Drosophila melanogaster: one gene and its partners. The protein of the gene in region 3 interacts with the protein of the main gene of each other region in a biochemical or structural test. Each region holds a gene or a part of one and is shown on either strand. Other genes may lie near its edges.

The links.
Region 1: of the proteins of Act5C (region 3) and Mical, one has a biochemical effect on the other in vitro, tested with the Drosophila melanogaster proteins (2 studies listed by BioGRID).
Region 2: the proteins of Act5C (region 3) and spir are reported together in a solved structure, tested with the Drosophila melanogaster proteins (2 studies listed by BioGRID, with this or other methods).
Region 4: the proteins of Act5C (region 3) and mor interact in far-western blotting, tested with the Drosophila melanogaster proteins (one study listed by BioGRID).

Annotation. Positions count from the first base shown.
Region 1 is NT_033777.3:10,039,853-10,044,419, forward strand, and holds the start of Mical (molecule interacting with CasL), read right to left. Parts: upstream 3,044-4,567; 5' UTR 2,940-3,043; intron 2,147-2,939; exon of another isoform or gene 2,120-2,146; intron 1-2,119. Other genes in the region: CG3909 (uncharacterized protein), read left to right, coding at 3,495-3,497, 3,551-3,842, 3,914-4,152, 4,210-4,397, 4,452-4,567. UniProt on the Drosophila melanogaster protein: Monooxygenase that promotes depolymerization of F-actin by mediating oxidation of specific methionine residues on actin.
Region 2 is NT_033779.5:20,309,421-20,314,232, reverse strand, and holds the start of spir (spire), read right to left. Parts: upstream 3,015-4,812; 5' UTR 2,414-3,014; coding exon 1,819-2,413; intron 1-1,818.
Region 3 is NC_004354.4:5,899,230-5,905,918, reverse strand, and holds Act5C (actin 5C), read right to left. Parts: upstream 5,059-6,689; 5' UTR 4,906-5,058; intron 3,938-4,905; exon of another isoform or gene 3,823-3,937; intron 3,230-3,822; 5' UTR 3,222-3,229; coding exon 2,091-3,221; 3' UTR 520-2,090; downstream 1-519. UniProt on the Drosophila melanogaster protein: Actins are highly conserved proteins that are involved in various types of cell motility and are ubiquitously expressed in all eukaryotic cells.
Region 4 is NT_033777.3:15,967,603-15,974,803, forward strand, and holds mor (moira), read right to left. Parts: upstream 5,312-7,201; 5' UTR 5,211-5,311; coding exon 5,094-5,210; intron 5,003-5,093; coding exon 4,877-5,002; intron 4,697-4,876; coding exon 3,772-4,696; intron 3,722-3,771; coding exon 3,391-3,721; intron 3,328-3,390; coding exon 2,553-3,327; intron 2,491-2,552; coding exon 2,280-2,490; intron 1,993-2,279; coding exon 973-1,992; intron 909-972; coding exon 784-908; 3' UTR 532-783; downstream 1-531. Other genes in the region: Rbf2 (Retinoblastoma-family protein 2), read left to right, coding at 1-355.

The DNA of each region.
Region 1 (4,567 bases), on a different chromosome or scaffold from region 3:
TGTAAAAGATACTTGTCCTTGACCGTAAGTTTATCTAATTCGGCTGATATTTTATCACTGTCACAACGCAAAACATTGAACGATATCAATTTCCCATTTATGGGTTAATTGGGGGAAGAAAGGCAGATACGGGGATTCTACTCGAGTCGGGTTTGGAGCAATGTTTAATGGCTTTTCAAGTGCTTCTCAAAATGAGGAACCGAAGACCCTGCCTTCCACTTGCAGTTGCAAACGCATTGCGGTCATAAAGAGTGCACTTTATGGCATTCCACAAACAAAAGTCAAAGGTTTAAGGGGGCACAAAAATGGGAGTGTTTTACAGGAGTGACAGCAGTTAAAATATGTGAAAGTAATCTATACTTTCTAATTGGAACTATTCCTTACTTTAAGTTCATGATAGATTGGCTAATTGCAGAATATTTAAATAAATTTAGCACACAGATACATATTATTTATATTTTTCTGATCCCACATATTTAGTAAAAGGGGGAAAAAAAAAAACAACAAAAACGAGGCCCCAATTAGGGCCCAAATTAGGTGTTTTTCTCGAGGCTGAGGCTTAAAATAACATTCCAACCTTCGAAAGTGATAAAAGAGCCCAGCGTTGATTATTATAAATAGCAATGCTCCACCTATTATCTTATCTCTGGATTTAAATACACTTTTGGCCATGCCAAAGATCGGACCAGAAATATTTATTCAGTCAAGCAAAAAGTTTGGCTCTTCCACTGGAATCCAAATGGTGAGTACTTTCCCATTGTTCTTGTGCTTTTGCCAGTGCAATGTCATGACTTGACGCCATCACATTTTCATTTTCTGGGCTGCCTTGATTGGTGTAAAGAAAATTGCACCGACATCAGAACGCGATCTTAAAAGTCAATGCTCCTATATATTGCTCTTGTGACTGGGGGGTTCAACGAATGGCGATTATTCCAGCTATATTCTTATCAGAGGATGTTCGTGATTGCGACTCTCTTGGTAATTTCCATAGAGTTCAACCCGTACAATGGGTTTACAAATAGCACTATATATCATTTTATTCTTATTTTATCTTCATGTACTAAGCACTGTATATAATCTCAAAACAATCATTTGATTATCTACTTTGATAGATATTTCATGTAATTTACTGAATTTCTTTAAAATAATGTCATGGCTAATATGTCAAATCTTTTCGCTTACTTGACAATAATGTTCCCTGCTTTCTTGTTTGACTTTCTTTTGTTTTTGGAAAACTTCGGCACTTGTCATTGTCGGCTGCTGCCACGCCCTCCGTCACGCCCCTTACAATGATGTCACATTGCACAGACTCAAATTGCTCCAATTTCGCCCCCATTGCTTTTGACTATGTCACGCTTTTCCCAGCGAGCGCTTTTCCACACTTGACTTCGCATTTCCCCGCGATCTTGGAACCGCGGTATTCCCACCTCAACTAATAACTTTGTTGGTTTTCCATCCATTTTCCGAGTGCATTGCGCCTGGGCTTTGGCTTTTTCCGCAGTTTGCCACTGTTTCATTTTCTTTTTGCATGCCCTGGATTTCCATTTTGTCGTACTTGGTTTTTGCGCTGGTTTTTCTCGCCGATTGTGAAAAGTTGTGCACTAATGGCAGCTGTGAAATGCATTTATGTTTATGGTCTAGTTTTTCCATTCTTATTATTATTTTTTTTTTTTTTGACGCCTTTTGAGCACCTCTTAAGGGCAAACATTTATTCTTATCCTCCAGTCACATTAGTGCGAAGGCTAAGAGCAACCGTGATGGGTTTGCTTTGGAATTACGAATGGAAGTGGAGCAAAGCTGTGGGATTTAGAGTCATTTAACTTTACGGATCTTTAAGCGTCACTACTACTACCTAACTACCTTTCTTTCTATAGGACCATTTCATACCCTAGAAGACATCGTTTGCCTGTAGTATTGTTAAAATAAACGAATAACTAACTTTCATATACCAAATCTCAAGTAAAGAATGTTTTATGAAATGAATACACCTCTCTTAAGATATATGAATCCCAACATGTGTGAGAAAATTAACATAAAATACCGATAAGATTACATAAACATGCAAATCTTCCACTTCATCTTATAATATAGCATTATTGATCCCCGGCTGGCGACTCACCTTGATAATTTACAAATTCAGTTGGAACTGTTTGATTTATTCGAAAGGGTTTGCATATATCATTTTGAAAACGGCAAATTGCGATTATAATCGAAACAAAAGTGAGCAGAGGAAGAGAAGAAGAATAAGAGGAATGGCGATATTAGGGAGATAAAGTTGCACGCGAAAACCGGTTGCCGTTATTGTTTACACCAAATCGGAAACGAAGTTGTGGGGGCAGGCGCGAATATGAATGTTGTACGGAGGGGAAGAAGTGGAAACTGGGCGGAAAACGGAGAACGGGGAACGGGAAAGTGGGAATCAATAAAACAAACACACCACGAAAAACACATGGAAAGTGCAGCAAAACTATATGCCTTTCATTTCGGTTTAGTGCACAAATCGGCGAGTCCTGCTGCCACAAGAATGAATCATTCGAATCTTTTCGATTTTGTCGAAAGATATGATATGTGAGATAAATAATATGCTGATGCACAACCACACACACACTCGCACTCACGCTCACGCACACCCGCCCCCACACACACGAACGAACGAGGCTTCACTGTTTATGTTTATTAATATATTCCAGACACGCGGATCCATAGAAGAAAATCATACATATTCGAATTCACGGCGGCGACGACAGCAAAATGAAAAAAAATCGAAAACGAACCGAAAACTGAAAAGCAGAACACACGCGTTGGTCCTATTCGTTCCTTTGTTTTTGATATCGTATCGCGAGGGGCTAAGAACTATAACTATATCCGCATTATATAACCGCACTGGTAGATCCGGGCATGGCTGCACCGTGGGGCACGTAATTGCACCCGTCACTTACACTTTTCCTCGCCAGTCGCTTGGATCTCGCGTCCGAGTCGTTTGGGGATTTGTTTTTTAAAACGCGACGTTCGTTCCTCGGTTCTCGACGGCTATAAACAGTGTGGCCGCGCCGGGAGTGCAACTATAAGCCGATGGTGTGACCATGGCGGGAAAGTGGTATTATGCCGTGTGCCATATGGGCAAATATACCAAAACAATAAATAGCAATTCAAATAATTTAATATATAACATGTTTACTTAAAAACTAAGCTTTTTACCTAAATAAGTATAATAAAGATATAATAAAGTAAAATATTATTTTGTTATATATAATATTACCTGTGAAAAAATTTTAAAAACGTCAATTTGTTTTATACTTCTTTATTTCTTTCATTTATATAAAGAATTCCATGTTTAATTTATTCACATTGAAACATATTCAGCATAACAGTTTTGACCCACTGTAAACCTCCCTTTTCAATACTAATTCTAACGTCAACCATTGTTATCGATAACAGCTAATTTGCTGATCGCTCTCGTTCGCATAAAATAAACACTTTTCCGGCATTTTAAAATGGTAAGTAGATATTTAACGAACTGTGCCTTTTATACATCCCTTTTTTCCGCTAGTTTTCTGTCCTTCATAAAGAGGAAAATGCGCACGACAGTCAGCTATGGGCGTGCACCTGGGGACGCGACACTGCGGCCTCAGATCCGGATGACGCGGTCGTGGAGCCCGAGGAGAATCCCTTTGATTTCGATAAGAAGGAGGCCCGCCCGAAGGATTTCTTGGTCACCGGCGGACTGGATGACTTGGTAAAGGTGTGGGACTTGCAGGAGGACAACACCCTAAAGTTGCGCCACAAACTAAAAGGACATGCCCTGGGAGTTGTTTCTGTGGCCGTCAGTTCCGATGGACAGAGTAGGTTGAAAGATTCTGTACTTGGGAGATAGAGAAATGGACATCAATTAATGGTGCCGCCTTCCTTCCAGCCATTGCCAGTAGTTCTCTGGACTCCACCATGTGTTTGTGGGATGCCCGTTCGGGCGACAAGAAACACCTACTTAGCTTTGGGCCTGTTGATCTCTGGACGGTGCAATTTTCACCCTGCAACAAATATGTGATATCCGGACTGAACGACGGCAAAATCTCCATGTACAGTGTGGAAACCGGAAAGGCAGAGCAGACATTGGATGCCCAAAATGGGAAATACACGCTTAGCATTGCCTACGTAAGCTTTATCTGGTAAATAACCCATTTTGAGAATCCTATAGCTGTATTATTCTAGAGTCCCGATGGCAAGTACATTGCCAGTGGAGCCATCGATGGTATCATTACCATTTTCGATGTGGCCGCGGGCAAGGTAGTGCAAACATTGGAAGGACACGCGATGCCAGTGCGTAGCCTTTGCTTTTCTCCGAACTCGCAGCTGCTGCTCACTGCCTCAGATGATGGTCACATGAAGCTTTATGATGTGTAAGTGGCTTAACACCTATGACATTTTCAGGCACTACTATCTCCTCGTTTTAGAACCCACTCCGACGTTGTGGGCACCCTATCTGGGCACGCATCTTGGGTGCTGTGCGTGGCATTCTCCGAGGACGGCAAACACTTTGCCAGCTCCTCCAGTGATAACAGCGTGAAAA
Region 2 (4,812 bases), on a different chromosome or scaffold from region 3:
AGAGGTTTAAGAGCTAAGAACATTTTTTAAGTTATTTATAAAAGAAAATTTCTGAATTTTAAGTAGTATACTGAAATGGGTTTTAAAATCCCCTAGGACTTCCTACAGCATTATCAGCCATCTATAGTTCCTTCACCTCCGAGTTACACAGTTCAATTAATACTGTAACTTCCTGTATCTGCGTGCCCTTAAGATTACCCATGTAACTGGCTAATTGTCTATAAGAGCTAACTAATTGGCCACGCTGATACAAAAGCCGGCTATAGGCAGAGTTGGCCTGGCCAAATAGAGATAGACAGGCCCATACGAAGAAAGATGCAATGGAATGCAGTTAATGCTGCAGACCAAAAGCTGAGCTGAGTCACATTAAGGGCCACCTAGGAGAACGAAATCCAAGATTCCCATCACTACCCACTCAGAAACGCATTTTCCAATTAACGTGGCTTATCTAAAAGTCGATAGATTACCGACCTGTATTTTGACAGTCCCCGCGCAGACGAATGATTAAACAATTAGCTGCGAGACAGACTCAGACACGTTCTGTAGATTCAGAGATCGAGAGGCGAAAAAGTATCCCCCCATCAATTACAGCGAATGCAGGGGGAATGCCGAAAGGAAAGGCTGTGATCGTTACACTGGAAAAAATCTACTTTCGTAGATTTGGATTCGATTGTATTGCGGCAAGGAAAAGCGTTCAATCTTCTGCCCAATCCGAACATGACCTGCCTTTCTTCCAGTGATACTTGTGCTCTCCGAGCTACAAAAGAAAGTGAAAAACACTGCTGATAGGGTACTGGGATGGTACCTTCTTCATGGGAGTCGCCGTTTACACTTTCCCAAGCCAGCACGCAATCAGACAGAAGGCAGAAGTGGGGAAAACCCCAATCAAAGCTGGCTGGCTGCATAACTTAAATGCAGAGGTCATCATCGGATGGCGGATAGTGTGGGTTGTTTGTTTGGAAAGCGCTGGGGACTCCGCTGGCGATGGCCGGGCGATGCCAATAGTCAGATGGATGGCACACGGAAACCCACATCACGGCAGATGTCCGAAAATAAAAGGCCGAGAGAAAGAAGTTAACTGTGGCTTATTAACTGAAAATGAAAGCGTTTGCCGAAAAGACAAAGACCCCTCAGCATTCGGAGAGGCATCAGCGCAACCGGTTTTCCGGCCCAGCTAATCACAGCCCCAGTTTTCATCACTGTTACAGTTCCGCATCTGAAGTCAACACCCAACTGACCTCTGACGGGCCGAAATACACATAAACTATATATATATCTTTAGGAAGACTCATAAAAAATAATAGGAAATATTGCTCAAAGGATACAGAACTTAACACAAAGTCGAAAGAATATACACGGGTTGCTAGCTTAAAGGTAGTCAAATTGCATTTGCGTGCAATGTACAATAAATTATTTGTGATTAAAACATGTTACTATAATTGTAAGGAAAAACGACATTAAAATGTCATTTGGGGTTGGCAGGTTCATTAGGTTATCAATCCAAATTGTTAGTTGATCAATGTTGTATTGAACATTTCCACTTCTATATAGATTCTAAAGATTGCCAGTTGTGTGCAGCACGTTAATAAATAAATGTTATAACATTAATAACTATGACTATAGATCAATTTTAGTTCAAATATTTTCAGCATGATTTAAAAAATAATAAATTAAAAATTCAAGGAATAGAAGATTCATACTAAGTTAATTTCCGTTAATTAAACAACTGGCATAAACTGCAGGAATATTAATTTCCGCTAACTGTAGCCGTGAGAAATATGTATGCATATTGATTTTTCAGTAGGTCGGTCTGCTTACCTCTGTTGATGACGCTGCTGTCGCCGCTGCTGCTGGCGCTGTGGTCCGGCTGATCCACAATCACGTCGTGCTGCGGGGGGAGGGGGATCTGCTCCTGCTGCAGTTGCTCCTTAGGCGTCAGCTGATCCGGGCCGGAGAAGTGGACGCTGCCGTCGCGATGGAAGTGCAGCTCGAATCCGGTGGGCAGGGCGGCCTCGTAGTCCGCGGCACAGGTGTGCGCTTGTACGGCCACCTGGTGGTAGAGCCCGGCGAACTGGTGGATCAGGGCCCAGGCCTGGTCCTCGGAGAGCGGCGCCTTAAAGGAGTCCAGGATGTCGTGCAGCGTGACGCACTGTTCTGGCGAGGAGCAGCGGTGGAAGGCTTGCAGGATGAGCGGGCGGGCTTGGCCCGCCTGCTGGGGATGCGCACTGGAGGACATGGCCAGCTGGTCCGCTGGCAGCTTGTGTTGGGCATCGCCGTTGGCGCTGTCCGGCGATGTGGACAGGAAGGCGTCTTCCTTCGCGTCCTTGAACTTTCCACTCGGGGTGGGTGTGGGCGTGGCCTTGACCTTGGTGGGCGGCGTGTCCGCCTGCTCCTCGGCCTGGTGCTCCGTCATTATGTGTGTGGGCGTGTGTGGCTATCGATGGCTTTCAACCCGATTCCACTGCAAACCCGGCACTGGCCAACATATAATTGATTTTTTTGCCTCTTTCGGGTGGGCTAACCTGCAAAATTCGCGGTTTGTTTTTGGTTCGATTTTGGTTTAGTTTTGTTGTTGTTGTTTTTCTGTGTTGTGTGTGGTAAATGGCAAAGGAAACTTTAATACAATAATAACACAACACGAGGGGATGGAATTCGGATTCCCGACGTACACGATTCTAATATTTTGTTTGTCGTCAGCTACATTAAACACAAAGCACAGGGTATAACAAAAAACACATGATTTTCGCTTGAGAATATTTTAAACTGGCGTCACGTTTTTGTTTTCGCACTTCTTAAGTCGGCATTCGCAAATCGCCGTTAGACTCTGCTAGAAATTTCACAACACTGAGGAGATGGAAATCACGCACTTTGCTTTATTTTTATTTTCTTCTGTTTCATTTGCATTTCTTTATTATTTGAAATCTCTCTGTTTTTCTTCGGCAATCGCACTTCGTTTTTTCTCACCGGCTATTTTTTACACACGTCCGTTCGCCGCGAGTTGCTAATCGTAAATGACACTCTTGTGCTCAAATGCATGCAGCATGCAACAATGTTACCAACTTAAATGTTGCCGGAACGGCCGTTCCAACTTGAGTTAAGAGAGCATTTTGTTCGTACAAGAAGAGAAATATCTTCGTTGTGTTCTAAATGAAATTTGAATTGGAATTGAGGGATTTTTTTTTTAATTAAAACTGTTCTTTTGAAGACAGCTGATTCACCTAATAATAAGATCACATCAAAATGTAGAGTCAATTCGACGGAGAGCGAGAAAAAAAAAACAAACAAGCCCGCGGGAAAAACATAAAGTTTTCTCTTTTCAAATTTGTTGCTTCAAAACGAAAAAAGTGAATGGTCTCTTGTTATGATATACTCTCTTTTTCCGTGGAAACATGCATAGCAACAAGATGATGCAACATTCCCAAATGTTGCAGACTAAAGTGTTGCCGACTAAAATGTTGACGGATCAGCCGTTCCAATTGGAGTTGAGGGACAATTTTTATTCGTAAATAAAGAGAAATTTTTTCGTTGTCTTCTAATTGGAATTAAGGAATTTTTGGGGAGCGACAGCTGATTTACATAATATAAACATTGATTACAAGAATATATTGTAGTATGTGCATATATCGAGGGTACACTGTACCTATAAGTACACAGCAACACTTAGTTGCATTGCATAAATAAATGTCTCAAGTGAGCGTGATATAAGATCACCCATTTATGCTTTAAGCTAAGTCAGCATCCCCACGCTGGCCGCTGGCCATATATGCGCATAAGCTCTCTCTCTCTCTCTCTTATACATATATATATACGCTGCTCTTCTGCCGCTGTCGACGGCGGCGCAGTCGCAGTATTTAGGTAAGATTAGACACTCTGTAGAGGTTAAGCGGGCAGAACCGTTTCTGCTACTCGAAGAGATAAGAAGAAATAAAAAGGTGGCCTGACGGCTGCACCCAACTGCAAGGAAAACACGTGTTCTCAATTGGTGGCATATATTGGTTTATTACATGGCGACCGTGAGGCAGGAGCCTGCGATCTGAGGACTACTGAGGAAATGCTGCTAATATTGCCGATTTGATTTGGGAATTCTAAACAGCGACAACAGGTGTGAGAGGCAGGCCGCCCCTTACACCAGTGCGGGAGACCTAGAGACGGGACACTGATGAAAAAAAAAAGAAACAAAAATACTGAGTGAGTAGAGTGTGGTAATGGGCAAACGCGGATGTCAGGAAATCAAAAATAAAGGTATAGCACATATTAAGTGGCTATGATATACAAATAAAACACCGCCCCCATGGGCAACGGCACCGAAATTAACTGCCGAATTAGACTTTCTGAAAGAAAACCTCCAGCAAAGAAAGCCGAATACCACAACTCACTCAGCAAAAATAGAAATAATCAATGAAGAAATAACTGAAAATTCAACATCACCCAAGCCGAAAAGACCCGACGTCTGCATGAACGACTGCCCTCGACCATTGTAAGCCGCAACAGCAATTAGCACGGCATCCTGCGAGGGTAGGATTAGGATAAAGGATAAAGGATTCCACCGGCGCGCCGCACATGACAACAGCGAATGTCTACCAAGCAGACGTTCGAACACCCTGCTCCTGTCGAGCAAAGGGATCTGCCAAGTATCAAAGAGGTAATAGAGGTAGATCCGTCCGCGGGACCAAAGCCCTTGACCATACAAGAGTACAAGGCACGGACTGCAGCGAGGGAGCAGCCACCTAAAAAGAAGAGGGGTGGCCGCCGGATTAAGTTGCTCAGCGCCCGGAGGCTCAACATCGAACTACTGAAGACGGCAACTAATGA
Region 3 (6,689 bases):
TATATCAATCCGCACGTGTCGCTGCTCCAAGTGCTTCTGTGCGAAGTACGGCGGACTCAAGGCGGGAATATTGAAATCCGGCCAATCGCGCTGCTGACCCTTGGCCAAAAGGGATCACATCGCTGAATATTCAGTTGGTAGGCTCATACTTTGTAAGCGTAGAGTGCGATACCCTGTAGATAGTGGGGAAGCAACACATCGCATCATATTCACATAGAAACCGCAGGTATGACCAATCTTAGTCCTAGAATACTATTTTATACTACATATTTCTATATTTTTATTGCTTTACTCTTAATTTGTGATGTTTTTAATGAGACCTACTAATTATTCGAACATTTGGGCATACGAATATCGAAAAAAAACACTAACTACATATGTATTTATGTATGTATTACATATGTATGTATATTTAAACCGCTCAAGGTGCTACGAAATCCGTTGTGAACAAAAAACAAAGGAGAACGTCTAGAACGCAAGAAGAAGAAGATGAACGAGATCAACAAAAACGGAACCGTTGAAACTCAAGAATCAAAGGAGAAAGCACAGAAAGATAACTTTTACCGTAGCATCCGAGCGCCAAATCAAGCAGAGCCCATAATTATACTGGCAGAAATGATATCGAAGTCGAACTAATATATAAGCAATATAATAAAAATGTATTTAAATAATATAATATCTATGTATATTTGTACGTGTAAGTCTATAAAGTAAGTCTATAAATCCCAATTCGCACCACTTTCTTTCCGGTGCACTGCATTGCCCGTGCGAGTCAGAGAAAGATGGAAAGATGGGTGCTCCTCCTCTTTGGCCGCATGAATGGAAAATGTTTGGGAAAAACCGGATAAACGGCGCTTGCAGCCGCTGCTTTTGGCCAAACTGGCGGATGAAACTATGCCAGCGATTTGTGTTAGCGTGTTTGCCTTATTATCTCGACTTTTATTTGGATCTTGGCCATTTAAAACGGCACTTTAATCGCATCATTAGCCCGCATGCGTGCGTGCGTGCGAGCGAGACAGCCGCTTGTCGTCGCAGCCTTAGTTCGTCGACCTCGTGCCCTCTTCCTCTTCACCCTTTTCCGAAGCAACCGTTGCAGTAACGGTTGTTAGACAATACACATGTAGCAAATTGTTCGCTTGTTGTTGTTTCATTTCATCAGTTTTTCAGTTGCATTTTCACATTTTAATTAACATTTTCAGGCGTAAACTTATCAATCGATACGCATGCAATTAGAAAAGTGTACAAATAAAAAAAAAATACATATGTATGTATGCTTGTATGCTTGAATGTGTGTGAATATCGCACGCGAAACTGCAGCCAAGTGTGAGTGTGTGTGGGTTATTATTTTGCCGGCCGGCAAAAATGTGGAAGAGAGACAGACAAAAAGATGAGAGAGGAGAGGGCGAGGTTAGCAGCAGAGAGCGAGGAGAGCGGGAGAAAGAGAAGACAGATTTGATTTTCCTTTTTGTTTTCATATTTTTGTTTCACTTTGTTTATAATTACATCATAATTAAAAAATAATACATAAGGTTGCTGACGAATTGTACAAAACGCTAGTGTGTTGTTTGTGTTTTGCAATGTGTGTGTGTTCTTTTTGCGCTTTGGGAAATATCTTCTTTAAGTTCTTCTTTATCTTGATGTCCTTGTCATGCCGCGAATGTGTGTGTGTAAGCTTGTGGGTGTGCGTGTGTTGGGTGTTGTTGGTGTGTGTGTGGAATGGCAGAATATGCATTTTCGCTCATTTTCATTTTTTGTAGTTCTTGTTATATTAAAGGTTTACAAATAAAAAAAAAACAAAAAATACATAGTATATCATATCATATCTCATGTGGAATAAATTAATTATATTAATACGCTGGAACCACACAACATGCGCCCAAAACGATGATGATAATGATGATGGTGTGCAGGTGGTTCCGCTCTTTTCATCTTGTAGTTGGTGTTGTTGTTGATTTTGTTGTGCTGCACTCCAAACTTCCACCACTCGCACTTGCACTTTCGCTGCTGCTTCCTCGACTTCTCCTCCTCCTCCTCCAGCAGAATCAAGACCATCCCGATCCTGATCCTCTTGCCCAGACAAGCGATCCTTCTTAGAAGCACTTGCGGTGCACAATGGAGGGGCCGGACTCGTCGTACTCCTGCTTGGAGATCCACATCTGCTGGAAGGTGGACAGCGAAGCCAGGATGGAGCCACCGATCCAGACAGAGTACTTGCGCTCTGGCGGGGCAATGATCTTGATCTTCATGGTCGACGGTGCCAGGGCGGTGATCTCCTTCTGCATACGGTCGGCGATGCCAGGGTACATGGTGGTGCCACCGGACAGCACGGTGTTGGCATACAGATCCTTACGGATATCCACATCACACTTCATGATGGAGTTGTAGGTGGTCTCGTGGATGCCGCAAGCCTCCATTCCCAAGAACGAGGGCTGGAACAGGGCCTCGGGGCAGCGGAAACGCTCGTTGCCGATGGTGATCACCTGTCCGTCGGGCAGCTCGTAGGACTTCTCCAACGAGGAGCTGCTGGCAGCGGTGGCCATCTCCTGCTCAAAGTCGAGGGCAACATAGCACAGCTTCTCCTTGATGTCACGGACGATTTCACGCTCAGCGGTGGTGGTGAAAGAGTAACCGCGCTCGGTCAGGATCTTCATCAGGTAGTCGGTCAAATCGCGACCAGCCAGATCCAGACGCAGGATGGCATGGGGAAGGGCATAACCCTCGTAGATGGGCACGGTGTGGGAGACACCATCGCCGGAGTCCAGAACGATACCGGTGGTACGACCGGAGGCGTACAGCGAGAGCACAGCCTGGATGGCCACATACATGGCGGGTGTGTTGAAGGTCTCGAACATGATCTGGGTCATCTTCTCACGGTTGGCCTTGGGGTTCAGCGGGGCCTCGGTCAGCAGCACGGGGTGCTCCTCGGGTGCCACACGCAGCTCATTGTAGAAGGTGTGGTGCCAGATCTTCTCCATATCGTCCCAGTTGGTCACGATACCGTGCTCAATGGGGTACTTCAGGGTGAGGATACCACGCTTGCTCTGCGCCTCATCACCCACGTACGAGTCCTTCTGGCCCATGCCGACCATCACACCCTGGTGACGGGGACGTCCCACAATCGATGGGAAGACGGCGCGGGGAGCATCGTCTCCGGCAAATCCGGCCTTGCACATGCCAGAGCCGTTGTCGACAACCAGAGCAGCAACTTCTTCGTCACACATTTTGTAAGCTGCAATGGAAAGAATGCGGATTTCCCATTAGTTTTTGGTTACCTTATTTGGTAATGTAGAAATGGCAAAAAAAAAACTGAGAATTTGCGTGGTTTCCTTGGACTGCGCTGGTCTACCAAAGTACAATTGTCATAACAAACTAACTTGTTTTTCGTGTACAATTAAAAATCACTCAATGCAATGTACGTTTTTTTAGTACAAAATTTTAATCTTGGACAAAAAAAATTTCATAAAAAAATACTTTTCCGATTGAAAACTGATTTTCACTTGCGATCGAATTGTAATAAGAAATTAAAAGAACAGTTACAAAATAGAAGGCCCCGCCCCGAAAAATTAAAACCACAATACGAATATGCCGAAAAGGGAGGGGAGAAGCTTCTAGACGACACTTAACGAATGCCGGTGCAAAAGAAAGCCGCAAAGAGAGCACAGTTGCCTGTGTGTATGCGCCCTTAAAATGGCGGCTGCCTAAAACTCGAATTGGAACCCGAAATTAACATTACAAAATAAAAAAAAAAAAAAACACTAAACGCACTCTAGAAAATTTAACAATTAAGAGCCACGAAACTTTTCAAAGCTAGTTAAACTTTACCTTTTTGTTCGATTTAACAAATTCAAGGCGTGAAAACTACTGTAAACGCAAGTGGCGAGGCTGAGCTAAGCGACCGCACGGTTTGAAAGGAATGACTGGAATAAACCGACTGAAAGTGGCTGGTGAATGTTGAATGCCAGTTAACTGCGTTTTTCAATCGCTGCCTGCGTCGACGTCGCCATAGGCGTCGCTCGCTCTCGCCATCTCGCTCGCTCCGCGCCATGGTCGCTATGGGTGCGAAGGAGAGCGCTGGTGTGTTGAATTGCGGCGGCCAAGTTTTGTGACCATATATGGTCATGTTTCGAGGCGAAAAGCAAACCGTCGTCTGGCTTTCGCTCTCTCACACACACATACACTCTCTCTCGTTATTTTGCGCGTGAGTGTGTGTATATGAACGAATGCTCGAAGGTTTTCTCCATTTTTGCAACTACAACTTTGAAAAACCGGCAAAAATTTCTGCTTCAGCCAAAACGGCTGCCTACGTCACTATTTTCAAGAACCTGATCTAGTTTTACAGATTATAATATGCATATACTGTATGTATGTACATTTATGGATGATCTGGTGTTTTAGGGCGTGGGAAAAAAAGAAAGTGTTGGCGAATTGATTTGCAATTCGTAATTTGGCATATCTTTGGGTGAAATCGTGACACGCCCACATCAGCGAGCTTGGCTTTAAACACTATATTAGATCCTAACATTTGAGTTGGGGCTATTGAATTGCTTTGGTTTTTATAATTTCGTATAATTTGTATGTATATATCCTGAAATCTGCAGTTGTAATCCTGATTCTTGAGTTATGGTATTTGAAACCCTGGTTTTGTTAATTTTGATGTCTTTCGACCTATTGGTATTTTGATTGACAATTTAGGGCCAAACTTGGGTATTTTTGGAGTTTTGGTCAATACAATAACTCTTTAGCTCGTGGCTAGTATTTTTTGATCACTTTCAGCACTGGCACATAAAAAAATGTTTTGTTTACAAAAAAAATCACACATTTTCCGCGGCTTTTCTCGATTATTGCTTTTTCTTGGTGGGAGTGGTTCGATGGTGTTTTGTTGTTGGGAAGGGGAAAGCTACTTACATTTGGTGTGTTTTATTAAAATTAATTAAATAAATATAAATTAAGTCTTTCGGTTTGGTGTCTCTGGATTAGACGACTGCTGGCTGATGGAGCGGCTTTGTGTCGGGAGGAGTATCCACACAGCACAAGAACTCAAACGGTAGTGATATGAAAACTGGTCCCGCAGCCCGTTTTATAAAGCCCGCTTAGCGCTAAAACCTTATCAGCCGCAATGCTCTCCGCTCTCAAGTCGCGTTCAAAACTTTTACCATATATGGGTATGAATTGTTCGCCGATTGGGTTTTCATTTACGGAGAATTTCCTCCGCAACTGGGTGTTCGTGCTTGTGTGTGTCTTGTATATCGCCATGAAGAGTGTACTTCCATGGGTCCTATCAGTTGCGGCATGTGATTCAATTTGGGGGTTACTCATATTCGATACTTCAGCTGGTTATCTTTATGCTGTGATGGTCACGGTGCTTTTACACATTTTTTCCCCAACTACTCATTGTATGCCAAAACATACATATGTACATGTGTTTATAGTGGGTTTATTAGTAATGTCCAGCGATATTAAAACATTACAGTTAAATAATATTCATATTAGCTTACGTTTACTGCTATCTGCACTTCAAATTGGTTATTCCAGGGACATTTTGTGCAACACACATCTTCTAGTAGGGCATTCACTAGTCGTAGAAAACACACCTAACTTAAGCCGGTTTTAACAATAACGGCGAAACAGCTGCCAGACGAGAGAAAAGTACACAGCAAGAAGCATTTCTATAATGATGCCGTCCTAAATATGCAGCATTTTTGCTCAAATTGATCATTTCGTTGCATCGCTCAGGTGGTATAGTATTTGGCTATTGAATGTGATTGCTATCTTAATAGTTTTGAATAGTAATAGTGCAAATATTCATTCATAAAAAATAGGTAATCGATTTTTTCAGTGCAGTCTATGCGTTTGCGCAACAGAGACGAAGAGAGAGACGCCTCACACACAAGCACATGCGGTCTAAGCTGCTCTCCCTCTTTTTCTCTCTCTCTCTGGCTTGCGGCAGTTTTCCAGAGGCTGTGACTCAGTAAGCATTTCTTGTTGTTACCCTAACGATAAGCGTCCGATTCCTAATTCTCTTTCAAATAATTTGTTTTATTTTTTTTTTTGTGTGTTTTGAAGTCAAACAGCTTCATAAACAATATTAAATATCGCAATTGTTATTGCAAATGCATTCGTATCAGGCGCCTTGATGTTTTTCGCCAAAACTTCGTCTGCTCTTTGTCAGCGTAATTGCGTTTGCCGGTCGTGCCGTCTTGCTCGCACGCGGCTTGCAAACAAAAAGTGAAAGAGGGAAAGCCACCTGTGTTGTTGCTTTTGTTGCTATCGTTGGCTGCACACACATGGCAATAAGTAACCATATTGTAGACTTATTTATTTTAGCGTTTTCGTTGACTAATCTTTGTTTAAATAATTGCCTATTTCGAGCCAAAATGACGCATAAAAGGAAACGGCAACATGCGGTGCGTTGAGCATGCGTAAGCGAGATGGCGCTAGAGAGAGCGCAGCATAAAAAGAAAAAAACAACCGGCGAGTGGCGAGACACGAATAATACACACACGCACACATGGTCAAAGGAGTGGCTCCAACGTCGGTGACGTCGCGCCCAGCCACAGACCCCGCCACGCCCCGCCCCACCCTTCCTTCCGCTGCCCCGCACCCCTTTCCTTCCACTACCGTTTTGCCGCATTTGGTATTGCCATCTCGCTTTTTTGGCTTTACTTTGCTTTTTGAATAAGCCAAGAAAC
Region 4 (7,201 bases), on a different chromosome or scaffold from region 3:
TATTATCACTTTCTACAACAGTGTGTATGTCCAAAGTATGGGCAACTATGGCCGCCACCTGGAGTGTGCGCAAACACGCAAGTCACTGGAAGAATCACAGAGTAACGTTGGTATTCTGACGGAAACAACTTCCAACGAATTGAGCATGAGAGCCAACATCAGCATATCTTCACCGCCCCCTCCCAGGGTATGCCAAAGTGGCTCCTGCTCCAGTCATCCACCTTCATCTCCCGCCGCATCACCACTTTCCTTGCAAAGCTCGCCCAACGTAAAGCGTGCTGCTTCGAGTAACGACTTGATGAGAGAGATCAAGCGACCAAACATCCTGCGGCGTCGCCAGCTTTCAGTGATCTAATAACCAATCAAAAAAGGCTTAAATACTTGGCTGCATTTTACGCAGCTAGCTTAGTATATTTCTTAAACTCAAAAATGGTAATTAAATAATGTTTAAATTATAGATATTTTATTAACTTGTTCAAGTAAGTTAAAAGCTTTTGCTTTTGTAAAAATAAAGGAATAACTGCCACTCGTAGTTTAAATAAATTTTTATTGAATGCCTATTTTTCGGCTTTGAAACTTGGTTCAAAATATTTGTGCAATTGCTTGTAAACGCGACCGGACACGAAATGAAACTTACACAAAACTGGAGACGCGTCAATGTGTAGTGCATCTCCTTCAGATTACACACAAGAGTTGGGCTTAAAGTGGAGTATACATAATACATACTGAGAGCGTACGACTTAGAGCTATTTACTTTAACGTTTCCTGGCTTATGAGTAAGAGTTAAGAAGAGGGAGCTACGCCGGCGATGGGAGCAGTGTTCGCCGGAGGAATTCCCCCTGGTGGCATTGCCGATCCCGGCGGTGCGTTGGCATCTGACACTGGACCGCTGCTTGGTGGTGTAGTATCTATGGCGGGAGTTGGATGTCTAAGTATTATAGTTTATGAATTGTTATCCGTTAAAGTTCTTACCCATGGGTGTAGGTGCTTGAGATTGCGCTGCTCCCGCTGCGACTGGTCCGGTTTGGTCGCTCGGATTCGTGACAATGGCCGTGGGTGCGCCCGGCGGGAGTCCTCCCGTGAGCGAAATCGGTGGCGCTGCAAAGGGAGCACCGTTGGGCGACGACACTACGTGCGGGGGCAACGGCTGGTGCTGGGCGGTGGGACCCGCTAGCGGTTGGGACTGCGGCGGCAACTGGTGCGGATGCGGAGGCAGCTGTTGCTGCTGCGCCAGGTGCGGATGAGGTGGCAGCGTTTGCTGTTGCTGCTGCGGCTGCTGGGCCTGTGGTAGCTGCTGTTGCTGCGGCAAGATCATTGATCCCGCGGCCGCCTGGCCTTGGAGCTCTTGCTGAAGACGATGATGTGCTTGTTGGCGCGCTCGGAACTCGGCTGCCTTTAGCTGCTCCAGGTGGAATTGCTGACGCTCTGTGATCAGCTGCTGACGCTGGTACTCCAATCCCTCGCGCTCTCGCTCCATGGTGGCCTCCAGTTCCTCAAAGTGGCGCAATTTGATCTCCAGCTTCTTCATCTGAGTCTCAACAAGGAGAGCCACCAGGGATTTGATCTTACGCTCCTCCAGGGCAGCCAGGTGTTTGGCTTTAACTGCTGCCGATGCCAAAGCTGCCGCCGCCGCAGTCTGCATGTTATTTTCGCTAAATGTTCCTTCCTTTGGCACCGCCAATGGCCCTGTTCCGGTTCCCGTTCCCTCTTTGGCCTCAGTGCCGTCCTTAGTTTCGCCATCGCCACTGCTGTCCTCCGTCTTGATGTCCACTTCGCCACCACTTGCGGCTGCTGCGGTTTCTGTGGGTGAGGATTTGTTTGATTTGTCTGACTTGATGGCTGACTTATCGCCCGAAGGCGAGGAGCCGGACGACTCCTTTGGTTTCTTGTCAGTGTTGTTGGTGTTGCCTGTCGCTGATGATGATGTGGAACTCGAGTCTGTGTTTGTGTTGGTCTTATCCGATTTTGTATTGTCTTTGGACTTGGCATCGTCTGTGGTTGTTGTTTGTTATTTGATGGTTGTGGTGTTGATGTAAGTTTGGTAGATTGGGCGCAACACAAAAACGAAACAATATACGAATACAGTGCCAAATGGTGAACAAATTGCGAATTTTGAATGAAAGCAACACAAGAGTTCAACAAGACAAACAAATGCAGAACCAACAATTGAGTAAATTCCCTTTAAAATCGATTAAAAGAAAACTCGCTCGACTTAGCGACTTTTCCCTTAACCAACATCCATAAACCCCCTTTACCGATCTCTAATGGCTTTGGCTTACCGTCTTTTTTGCTTAGGTCCTTCATTTCCTCATCAGAGCCGCCAGCGGATGCAGATGCGCCACCCTCCTTGCCCTCTTCATCGTCCTTGTCGTTTCCGGTTCCTGCGATTCCACTATTGGCCAGCCCAAAGTTCGGATTAAATTTACCACCTGCCGAAGCCTTCTCCACGTTTTTCAGGTGGTTGTCCATTATTGTAGCGGGCACCTCATCCTAGCATAAGTTTTACATTGGATGTTAAAATCATGGTTTAAACGTGACTAAAATGTAACTACCTTAATGGCTGCAAATTCCTCCATGGCAGCCTTTGCTGCTGCAGCGGCAACGCGAGGATCGACCACAGATGCCAGGAATGCGACGGTGGACATAATGGGATTGCCACTCTTGCTGAACGGAATGGGTTGGCAGGCCAAGGGGCCCAGGAAGCCACCATCATCCTCTAGATACGGGTCCTCGATGGGAAGTCGAAGGAAATGCAGAATGCACTCGTCTTGAGTGCGAGATCCAACGTGCTCGCAGACCTTGTTCCAGTCGTCCTTGTGCATTTCCAAGCCCTCAAGCAACAGCAGAGTCTCCTGATCGGTCCATTCACGAGCCATGCTTGCCGCCGTTCGATTCCTCATGGCCGCCGGCTTCTTTGCGTACTGATCCAGCTTGAGTCCAAACTGGCTCACTCCGGAACTTAATCCTCCGGCAGCGCCATTCTCTAGAGCCTCTGTCTTGATGCCAGTCAGACCACTTTTATCGCCCAACTCCAGGCCGCCATCTTTACCCAATGGCTTTTTGTCCAGATCCAACAGCGTCTTTGCCGCCGACGGCTGTTGCGTCTTTTGCGGATTTATGGACTGTAGACCTGATGGCGTATCCGAAAGAATGTGAAAGTGTGAGGTTGGTGGTGGACCCATAGGGGTGGGGCGGACATCCGCATCGATCTGGTAGTTAATCAGGCCCCATTGCTCCAAGAAGGCGTGTACTCGCATTATGGCGCACACATCTCCGGCAAGATTACGCCTACAAGCTGTGCTGGTCAAATACTCCGTCGGATTGAGCCTGAAATAGATGAGTAACATATTCAAAACTATTTGCTGCAAAAAAAATGGAGCTTCAACTTACCTGTACGTATCAATCATAAAATTCCTGTAGGCCATATAGATTTCTGGTGTCTTTGACTTATTCTTGCTGTTAAAGAATTCCGGCATGGCCCGTTTCTCGATCACATGAATGGAGTTGTAATCAAACCAAGCCGAGTACGAAGGCACGATAATGTGGTGCGTCTGCTCGGTCACATTGTCCTCCATATCCTCTTTGGCCGATGAAGAGAATTCCTGCGTGTTGCTGTTATCACTTGTCTTGCCTGTCTGCGAGTTTTCCCCATCTCCGGTAGACATGGCTTGAGCGGCGCTTCCTCCAGTCATTTCGTCATCCAGATCGGTCATAGTGCCACCTAGATATCAGTTTGTTTAGTCAATGCAGATATAAGATAACAAAACTTACCTTTAATGGGCATCATGTCGTTGTCGCCACGAGATTTACCGCCCGGAGCTGGACTGGCGGTGGACTGCAAGGCGGCATTTGCCTTATGAACCTCCTGAACATTGGGCTCGGCCGGCGGATCATCCAGATCGCGAGTTAAGTCCTCGTCATCATCGTCGTTGCGCGACTTTTTGTGCACCACGGCGGGAGAACGCTTACGCTTGCCCGGCTTTGAGGTGGATGCCGAACTGGCGGGAGATGGTGAACGGCGTCTCTTCTGCTTGCCTCCGCCCGAGCTGGCAGCAGGCTTCTTCTTCTCGTCGCCGAATGACATGATGTCGTCTATGGACATACGCTGTTTGTGCGTCTTCTTCTTGCCCTGTTCGTCAACCTCGTAGTCCTCCTCGGCCATCCACTCATTGTACTGCTCCAGGTCCACGATCCAGGATGCAGACACACGCCAACGTTCCGCCGGTGACTCGGGATTCTCCGGAATGTGATCGGGCAGGTCAAAGTTATTCACAGCCCAAGAATCGTAGGACTCGGGGAAGTAGTACCAATGCAGCATCACATGTCCGCCGCGCTTGAAAATGGGCCGCGCATACTCGTCGGGATGTGGGTCCACCACAGGATAGACGATATGGGTGGCGTCCTCCTCGTCCGACACAATCTCTACCCGTCGATTGTCCAGGATCTCGCGCAGTTTTCCCTCGAAGCCCTTTTCAATCTCCGGCCGAATATAGATGTACGGTATGCGATACAAGTCCGCCTCGACCAACGCCTGCTCAATCTCGATCAGCAGCTGGATGTTGGGATCCTTGCGCGTGGGATTCTTGCCAATGGAGAAGTCGAACTTCTTGCCGCGTTGCTCGGCCCGGAAACGGAACATGGTCGAGAAAATGATGCACAGACCACCGCCGCTCTTGAAGTCCAGAAAGCAACGCATCTGGTGTGGGTGGTACGATTATTAGAGATATGTTTTAATGTACGTAAATCATGTAGCTAAATACAAAATATAAGCTAGTGGTCCAAACATTTGGCCATTGGAGGATTAATATTTACGTGTACACACGCAACACGGGGCACCCTGTCCCCCTCACCAACCACAGGCACTATCAATACTAACCGGAATTCTGGTTGCCGGCGGATCCGCTGAGTTCTTGCCCAGCTTGGCTTCCACATACTGCAGGAAGTGAATGAGCAATTGGGCCAAGGACTCCTTCGTGATGGGCTCCGAACTGTGGGCCAAATACTGCAATAAATACGGTTGTGAGTAAATCGTTTTTTTTTCGCCGCCTGACAGCGCCATTTTTGTTTGCGGCGGCGTTGTTGTTGGCACGCACCTTCTTGCAGTTCTTCTGCAGCCACTGGCGAATCGATTCAAAGCCCTGCAGCGTCTCCGGCGACTGGAAAAAGTCTATATTCGGACTTCCGTCCTTCTTAGGACCCAGTGTGTTCATGTTGCGGCACTTTTGTGGACTTTTTGTCAATTATCTTTTCACTTTTCCACGCCAAAAAGCCAATAAACGCTGCGTTGATAAAATAGAGATGGTATTTAAATCGATGTTGTTGTGACAGTCGTTATCGATATTTCAGCTATCTCCACTGAAAGTTATCATTATTTTAATCTTAGGTTAGGTTAATATATAAACCTATTGGTTGGTGGAAGCCATATATTAAATAACAAGAAAACATATTGGCTGTTAAGAGAATTATATAGACTTCGAAAAAGTTATAGCTAGCTAACGTGTCAGTTAGCTTTACATCTCAGTGGGAACAAGCTATTATGTGAAAATTGCTGTTAAATTCAATAATGCCATCTGGTCACAGTGGCGGTGGTGCTGTATTGGCGTCCCGCTCGCGCCGCCTAAAAACCGATGCACCACGATAGTCAGGCCGCACATATAAATGCGACTCCATCGCGCTAACATGGCTGCTGGGAACCGAAAACTTAAAAATATTGTGCTGTCAGAGTGTGTTTGCATCAGCGTGAAGCCCAGTGTTAAGTTAAAACATTGACTGCCTACGCCCACCAACGACAATTGCCGTAAATCGAATTCTGCCGTTATTCGCAACGCCGGATTCCCATCCGTGTGTCCGTCGCGAGTGTGCCAGTGTGCGTGAAAATAAAAAGTCAATGGTGCGTGAGTGCGAGTGAGTAGGAAGAAAGCAAAAGCGATTGGATTGATTTGTGACGCTGCTGGCGAAAAGCAGTACCCAGTACCCCTTTCCTTGGGCCAAAACACACACATACGTACGGCTATAGTAACTCAGCATCGATTGTACAGTTTGAGAGCAAACAATTCAATTAGAAAATGCAGAGCGCATGAGTTGAATTGTGAGTGGGCGCCCCACATAAGCTGACTGCTACCGCACAACGAAGGGAACTAGAAAGAGGAGTGCGTAGTGCGGAGAGAAGAGCAAATGCGAAGCGAAGAGGAAGAGAGCGAGAGAGAGCAACCATTGCCAAAGGTAAGTGATATAACACTCGGAGATCGGGAGTGGGAATGCGAATAGGAACATAAGGAACCCCTAAATTCTTATCCTAGATTGCAACATTATTTATATGGCAGCAACTTATCGCTTCCGCTTGCTTGTGTGCGTGCGATAGAGATAGATAGAGTGGGGCCAAGGGGCTCTGTTTATTGATAAGAGAGGAGAGCGAGCGAGAGAGAGGGAGAGAGAGAGGAGGTGGGCGCCAACGCAGCAAAACAGCGGAAATCCTTTACAAAAACTTGGTCTACCACTAGCTCTTTGTCTTCGCCTTCTAGTCTCTCTCATCTTGGCAGCCCGTTCTAGTGCGCGTATTTTTAGTCGCAACACATTGCCCAATTCGCCAGCCGCTATTTGTGTCGTCCATTTGTTCATTCATCGGGCTCTTTTTCCGATTTCAGTGGGTGGCATTTAACAATAATCCCTGCGTTCGCTGTCCACGTCCACATTACGATACGTTTAGTGCACGGAAAGAAATAAGCATGTGGTTTCATAATATTAGCTATTGAAAAAAGTTCTTAAATTTAAGCCTCACTCGATTCTGATGCATGAAATATTATTGGATTGTAAATGAGCGTCATGTTTTGGTATACAAATCTCAAAGTAATTTAAAAATTCTCATCTTACCGTACCTTGAACCACTACCAATCATCTCAGTACAGCATTTCAGCGAATTTCTCACTGTGCACTACAATGCCAGGCGGTACAAGCACCTGTATTTATTTATGGTCCGCTGCCGTAATCGACTGCAGTCGCCGCTTCCCTCTCTCTTTTGCTACCAACAACTTGGGGTAGGGCACCTGAACTAGTTTCAAACGGCGGCGGTCGGCCTTTTCAGCTTTTTCGCATTTGCCATTTTCCCGCGGTTCGCAACATCAGCGACATTTGTCACAGTTTCTTAAAGAACATTTGAATATCCAAAGTTTACTTGCCGAACTTGACTGCGGCATTGCGATGA